Ovis aries: one gene and its partner. The protein of the gene in region 1 purifies or fractionates together with the protein of each later gene. This does not show direct contact. Links are inferred from orthologs where the notes say so. Each region holds a gene or a part of one and is shown in the gene's direction. Other genes may lie near its edges. The genes, in order: KATNIP and CILK1.

Region 1 (3,814 bases):
CGGCACTGGGTCTCAGCCAGGCCTCAGCAGAGGCAGCGGAGCCCATGCAGGGAAACTGCGGAGAGGTTAGGCAGGCTCCCAGGTCCTCAGGGAGACTGGTGCTTCTGGGACTGGGGGGCAACACGAGTTCTAGACCCCACCCCCCTGCTGGACTGAGGTTCAGAAGGCAGCACCAAGGACTGTCGGTGGGAACCCACCTGGGGATGGGGCTGGGGGCTCTCCTTGGAACCAGGTGGGGAGGAGGTGAAAAGGGAAGGAGTCATAGCTCAAACGTGCTGGACCCCTCCTGCCACCTGGCAGTGTTGGCAGTGGGTCACCTGTGTGAACCCTCTGTGTTAGCCCTGTGAGGTGGGCACTGCTAGCACCCCCATTTCACAGCAGAGAACACTGAGGCACAGAATGGTTAAGTAATTTGCTGGCTCACACAGCTGGGAAGAAGCAGAGTCAGGTCTAGTGAGCACAGCCAGCCTGGCACTCTCACTTGCCTGTTCTCCGGGCAGGACCACCTCTGACTTAACCCCCTCGGGATCACCCTCCCACTTCTCAGGCTCCTCGGCCTGCCTGCTCCTGGGGATGCTGGGAGCCAGTGGAGGGCAGGGCTGCGGAAGGGCTGGCACATGGGATGCAGTCAGCAGCAGGAGGGGGTCACCCTGGCACAGCCCATCCCCACGAAGCTGTGGCTCTCCCACAACCTGCCTTGCCGTTCATGCCCTCCACACTTGAAATGGGTGGAGGAGGGAACAGGTACTCTGTTCTTGTCATTTTACAACCAGGGAAACTGAGGCAGGAGGGGGTTTTTGAGGTCTGGTCACTGTTCAGTCCTCTACACTGAGTTTGTGACAGATGCTTCTCCATCCTGCCAGCTCCCTGAAGGTCACCCTCCCTGCCCGTTGCCCTGTCTCCCAGGGCCTGGAGAAAGCTTCTGAATTCTTCAAACACACATACACACATTCATATTGCTGTTTAAATGAAAGAAAATTTCATGCCACATACATTTTGATAGACTTCAGTCTCGGAGGGGGAAAAATCATTTTTTTCTCTCGTTCATCTCTATAAACCTCTCTCTCTATATATATATACACATATACACACACACACACACACACACACACATATATATATCCCTGTTATCTTTGTAATTATTTCCCTCTGTTCTCCAGAAAATTACGTCTGTTTTTTCCTTAATAACATGTTCCAGTCATTTTCCAGTTTCAGCTCCTGACCAGCTGGGGTGACCCCTATTACATCGGTCTTACCGGCCTGGAGCTATATGATGAAAGGGGAGAAAAAATCCCTCTGTCAGAGAACAGTATCCTTTCTAGGCAGAAGGGGGGCCCCAGCCAGACTGCAGGGAGCACGGGAGGGTCCGGAGGAAGGAGCAGAATCCTTGAATGTAGAGGGAAGTGTCCCTGAAGGAACCAGACCTGGAAAAAATGCCACGGCTGTCGCTGCTCAGTCACGTCAGTCGTGCTGATTCTTTGTGACCCCATGGGCTGTAGCCTGCCCGGCTCCTCTGTCCATGGAATTCTCCAGGCGAGAACACTGGAGTGGGTTGCCATGCCCTCCTCCAGGGGATCTTCCCAACTCAGGGATCGAACCCAGGTCTCCCACTTTACAGGCGGATTCCTGACCAGCTGAGCCGCCAGGGAAGCCTGTAAATATTGGGGTGGGTAGCCTCTCCCTTCTGCAGGGGGATCTTCCCAGCCTAGGGATTGAACCCAGGTCTCCTGCACTGCAGGCAGATTCTTTACCAGCTGAGCCGCTAGGGAAGCGCACCAAAGCGGCAGCAACCCCTTTCCACCTAACCCGTGTTTTCCAGCCTGCCCTCTGCATACTTCCCTCTCCTTTCCTTGAAACTGGCCACCCCTCCACTCTCACCCCCACTCCCCTCAGCCTCCTCACCTTCCTTTTCCCCCAGAACATGTCTAATTTGGCTGACACTCCTCCAGCCGCCCCGAGCAGCAGACAGCGGCTCAGCCCAACCCGGCATCCCCTGCCAGGCCACGCCATCCGCGTGATGGGGGCTGGCGGCCGCAAGAGGGGCCCACAGTGCCCGGGGCCGAACACACTGCTTTGGGTTATGACAGCTTAGAGGCATCCTCAGATATCGCCGCCTTCCCCGACAGCGTCAACTCCCTGGAGGGCGTGTGTGGGGACGTCCGGACCCCTGACAAGCTCATCGACCAAGTGAACAACACCAGCGACGGCAGACACATGTGGCTGGCCCCCATCCTGCCTGGCCTGGTGGGTTCCAGAGGCTCCCAGCCCTGGGGTGGATGGGGGTGGGGCTGGAAGGGGGGTGGTGTGTGTGGCACTTTCTGTCCCCAGTCTCAGCAACACATCTTCCTTCCAGGCCAAGTTAACCTTGAAACAAGTCAGAATGCCCGGGGGCTGCCAGGAAGGCTCAGGTGTTTGCTAACACATCTTCCCAGCCAGAGGTCTTTCCCTTTGCTCTGGGGGTGCTGATTATCAAGTGGGCCTCTGAGGCCAGGAGCCCAGCACAGCAGGCCTGGGGGTGTGGGTCCCTGTGAGCCTCCCTCTCCAGTTCTCTTTCCTCTCTGCTTCGCTCTGCTCTTCCCTCCAGCCCCAGCCTCTCCACATTCCTGATTTCTGCTCCTTCTTTGTGTCACCGGGTACGTGATCCCTACTTTGCCCTCTCTCTGTCCTCAGACCTGCCTGGTAAGCTCTTCCAACCCACCAACTCAGTCTCCCAGATCACAGACTCTACAAGTGGTCCCACCCATCTTTTTGCTCCAAAGCAAACCTGGGGGTGGGCCTTTGCTCATCTGGGCCTGGCCGATGGCGGTAGCAAGGGAGGTGAGGGACCACTCGGGATGGGATGGGGCGGATCGCAGCCCCCCAGCCTGTCAGCCACGGGCCCAGATGCCTAGGTAGATGTGAAGCAGGGGCTGGGGTGCCCACCCCTGTGACCCCTGGAAGGAAGACAAGGGATACATTCTCCTCTCAAAATCCTCCCAGGAAGGGGCAGCACCCCTGCGATATTCCGTCAGATTCCCTTGAGCAGAGGCTGACCCCTCCGGCCCAGCCCCACCACTGCAGACGGGAAATGCATAGATCTATCAGCCTTCACACCTGGGGCTGCAAACTGGTGGCCCCTAGCCAGTCTAGCCTTCGGCCATCTTGACCTTGACCTTCAAGCATTTGCCATTCTTTCACACGAAGACCTCTGGGTGTGGGGCAATCTCCCTGTCTGTCCCTCTCTCAGCTGGACTCAAATATTTGTATCCAGTTGAGTCCCATGGGCACTCACTTGGAGGCTCCTCATCTAAATAGTTTCCATGGTACAAGCAGAGAAGGCTGACCTTTCCCGTACCCCACTACATCCTCTTGGGGCTGAAACCCTGGGCCTGGGTCAAAGCTAAGCCTGCAGCCTATGGCCAACAGTGAATTCTATTTGCTTTATCCTATCTTGCAAGGGCTCCCCCACTAATATTTGAGAGTCTATGTTGGGGGTGGGGAGCTGGTGGGGGGCTCTTGGGTCCCACTTTACTAGCTGATTTTTGCCACTGATTGGAACACCGCCCCCCTCCTGCCCCCACTACCCCACACCAGAGGTTCAAAGATCTCTGCTGAAATTAACCAGCACCGCCTTCCTGGCCAGTCAGGGATGCTTTTCATTTGTGATTCGGGGAAAGGACAAACAGGGGTCAAGGCTGTGCTGATTGCTCCGGGGGGGCGGGGTGGGGGGCCGTGCCTCTTGACTCTGGAGTTGGGGGCCATCGCCCTTGGCCCTGAGACCCCGGACTGTGTTTCTGGGCCTGGCCTGGAGGAAAAGGAAGGGTGTCCCTGATTC
Region 2 (3,814 bases), on another chromosome or scaffold:
TGAGAAAGGTTACGTTATATTCAGTGACTTCCACTCCAAAAGACTAGGGAATATTTCAGAGAGAATTGCAAACCCCAGCACTTTACGATTTATTCCTTGGTGATGCAGAAAGCACAGTTATCTTGATGGACAAGGTTTAACTATAATATGTTTGACGCTCGTGGCATTTCTGATGTTAAAGCGGATGGACCTGCTTATTTTTATTTTTATTAAAGTATAGCTGATTTACAGTATTGTGTTAATTTCAGGTATACAGCAAAGTGATAGTTTTGCATATTTTTTTTCTCAATTCTTTTCCGTGACAGGTTGTTACAAGATACTGGAGACAGTTCCCTGTGATACACAGCAAACCTTTGTTGTCTGCTGTATTTTCTTATTTTATATTTGATTTTTCAGAGTCCTCTTGGAACATTATGTTGGCTCTCTCCATCTTATTTATCTTCTTTCTATGGAATGAAGAAATGGACTTATAATGGTGAAATATTGTATTTAAGACACAGAGCAAATAAGTTACAAAGCCAGAATATTGGCAGAAGTAGCAGAGGGCATAGCAGTGAACCTGGCTGCTTTACCCAGATAATTTTGAGTGTGGCAGCCAGTCCATACATTTTACACTATTTAGGACAAGGAGAATCGCAAGGGGTGTGACAGATTCAGGATGCTGTTTTCTAGTTGGTTTGGGCAAACTACTGCAGCAGACTGGTTAATGCGAAAGCTAGCCTGTGACCCTGAATGGTGTCAACCTTCCCAGTCAGATTATTCTTCTGAAACAGCCTCATGTGTCATTCCAGGCTCTTCGATATCCTTACTTCCAGGTGGGGCACCCCCTGGGCAGCACCGTGCAAAGCCTCCAGGAGTCAGGAAAATCTCAGAAGGACGTTCTGGAAAAGGCAGCTGCACCGCCTCACATAAAGCCGGTCCCTCCTGCCCAGCCCCCAGCCAAGCCCCACACACGCATTTCTTCCAGACAGCATCAAGCCAGCCAGCCCCCTCAGCATCTCGTGTACCCCTATAAAGCCGAGGCTCCCAGGACGGACCACCTACCAGAGGACAAGCCCAGCCCTTTGCTCTTGCCGTCACTCCACCCCAAGCATCCTCAGGCAGTAAGCAAGACAGTTCCCTCAGGAGCCCTGTCTGGCTATTCCTTTGCTGACCCCACTTCTTCTTCTTCTTTTAATAATTTTGTTGATTCATTTTGACTGTACTGGGTCTTCACTGCTTGGGTGGGCTTTTCTCTAGTTGCCGCGCATGGGCTTCTCACTGCAGTCGCTTCTCTGGCAGAGCACAGTCTCTAGGCACATCGGCTCAGTAGTTGCAGCTCCCAGGCTCTAGAGCTCAGGCTCAGTAGTTGTGGCGCACGGCTTAGCTGCTCTGTGGCATGTGGGATCTTCCCAGATCAGAGACCCAACCCACGTCGCCTGCATTGGCAGGCGGATTCTTCATCATCGAGCTCCCAGGGAAGGCCCTGACCATACTTCTTGCATGCAGTATTTTCTTTTTAGCATGTAAGGTCTAATTATAATAGGTTGGTCTTTTTGATATCATGGAACTGTGGAAAGAGCCTTGGCTTTGTAGTTAAGGGTCTAAATTCAGGTTCTAGCTCTGCTTGTGAATTATGGGGGTGGTGTCTCCAGACTGTCCACTTGACCCCAACCCACCTAAAACAGCAATGTGTGTTTATAAATTTCCTATTGTAGCTAATTCGGTAGTGAAATAGGATCCAGGTCTGCTGAGAAGGCAAATAAGGTATTAATTGCATTGTTTTCTATAAAAGAGCAGGTGATTGACACTTTAGTTACATTCTCTTATATTCTATTTAGGACAGTGTCAATCATGCTAACTCTTTCAGAGATGAGCCCTGGATGAGAATCCAGCTACCTTCCTCGTATGCAAGAAGTACCCTAAATGTCCTTTTTTAAAGCGTTACTTACACAGCCTAGTGTCCCCATTGAATGGAAACTGATGTAACCTGTGCAGGATAAGTGAGAGAGGTCAGGGACTGTTTTACACCATTGCCTTTTCCAATAAGCAGTGCATATTGGGGAAGACTACACCCCAGGACCCTCCTCTACACAACCGAGGAAGTTCACAATGGGGCTTACTCATGGGTGAGCTTCACTAATGCCAAGTATCGCTTCTCCTCCCCACCTCCCCACCCCCTTGTATACACAGAAAATTCTCACTGGCCTGGAGCACAAAAATGGTGAGATCAAGCCAAAGAGTAGGAGAAGGTGGGGTCTCGTTTCCAGGTCAACGAAGGATTCCGATGACTGGGCTGACTTGGATGACTCGGACTTCAGTCCATCCTTCACCAGGATTGACCTGAAAAATAAGAAGAGACAGAGCGACGAGACGCTGTGCAGGCAAGCGTGGGCTCCCATCTGCGCACTGACTGTCTCTGGGTTTGTGAGGTTGTCTTCACATCCCATGCGCTGCCCAGCTTGTGCTGACCAGAACCTTCTTCTCCCCGTTCAGATTTGAGAGCATTCTGGACCTGAAGCCCTCGGAGCCTGTGGGCACCGGAAACAGCGCCCCCACCCAGACGTCCTATCCCCGGCGCGACACGCCCACCCTGAGGTCGGCGGCCAAGCAACACTACCTGAAGCACTCTCGGTACCTGCCTGGTAATAACACTTCCTGCCCGTGCTCTGGTCCCTGATGAGAAATCGTGTCCCCGGAATCTCGAGTTTTGCAAAGCTTCTGTTTTGGACGGTGGTGGCACCACCATAGAAATATTTGCTGGGCTTCCCCGGTGGTGCTAGTAGTAAAGAATCCGCTTGCCAGTGCAGGAGATGTAAGAGACACGGGTTCGATCCCTGGAATGGAAAAGATCCCCTGGAGGAGGGCACAGTCAACCTGGCTTCAGTATTCAGGCCTGGAGGACCCCATGGACAGAGGGGCCTGGCAGGCTATAGTCCATAGGGCCACAAAGAGATGGACACAACTGAAGCCACTTAGTACACACAGGCTTTATATTTTCTTTTTCTTTTTGGCTGCACCTCGCTGCATGTGGGATCTTAGTTCCCTGACCAGGGATGGAATCCGTGTCCTCTGCAGTGGAAACTCAGAGTCCTAACCACTAGACCGCCAGGGAAGTCCCAGGCTTCCCATTCTTTTCTTGCCTAAGATAAGAAATTTGGTAGAGGAAATGGGGTCCAGTCCGAGTGAGTGAGGAACCAGGGAGAGCCAGGCAGCTCGCCTGGGGTCTCTCCAGCCCTGAGTGCTCTCAGGAAACCAGATGGGAGCTTAGCGCCCCCATCTGGCTTAATGTACCACAGGGGTTAAGTGAAGACACTCTAGTTGGAGAGTGCCCAAGCATCTCTCCAGGTTCTCTGTATTCTAAACATATAGCATTAGCCCACTGTTCATTCACAGATTCATTCCATCAGTCAATCTGTATTGACATCATTTTGTGCCAGGCGCTGAGAATATGGTGGACAAAACAGCCAACTGGGGCCACTGGGTTGCCCATTTTCCAGGGTCTCTGTTCACATCACAGTCTATGCAGTGACTTTAGCCAGCAACCTGTAGACAGTATCCTCATCCTCATATATTCTAGTGGTGGGAGACAGACCCTGAATAAGTGGGTACGCAGTAGTTGCAGGTGGTGACAGCGGTTGTTAAGGGTGATGTAATGGTGGCAGGAGCTGGGCCCCAGAGATTAGCAGGGAACTCCATGTGCAGAGGGATGTGAGAACAGCATGCCTGGCGGAGGGAGCAGCCAGTGCAAAGGCCAGGGGGCAGGAAAGGGCTGGGCTCGTGAGAGGCCGCATGGCCCGATCACTGTCAGAGGTGGAGGATGTGTTAGGACATA

The links.
Region 2: the proteins of KATNIP (region 1) and CILK1 purify together in Homo sapiens (affinity purification with mass spectrometry; 3 studies listed by BioGRID and IntAct, with this or other methods). This does not show direct contact. The link is inferred for Ovis aries from reciprocal best matches to the Homo sapiens genes KATNIP and CILK1.

The regions. Positions count from the first base shown.
Region 1 is NC_056077.1:25,834,792-25,838,605, forward strand, and holds part of KATNIP (katanin-interacting protein), read left to right. Parts: intron 1-1,198; coding exon 1,199-1,309; intron 1,310-2,104; coding exon 2,105-2,244; intron 2,245-3,814. UniProt on the Homo sapiens protein: May influence the stability of microtubules (MT), possibly through interaction with the MT-severing katanin complex.
Region 2 is NC_056073.1:24,906,049-24,909,862, reverse strand, and holds part of CILK1 (serine/threonine-protein kinase ICK), read left to right. Parts: intron 1-791; coding exon 792-1,103; intron 1,104-2,172; coding exon 2,173-2,363; intron 2,364-2,475; coding exon 2,476-2,624; intron 2,625-3,814.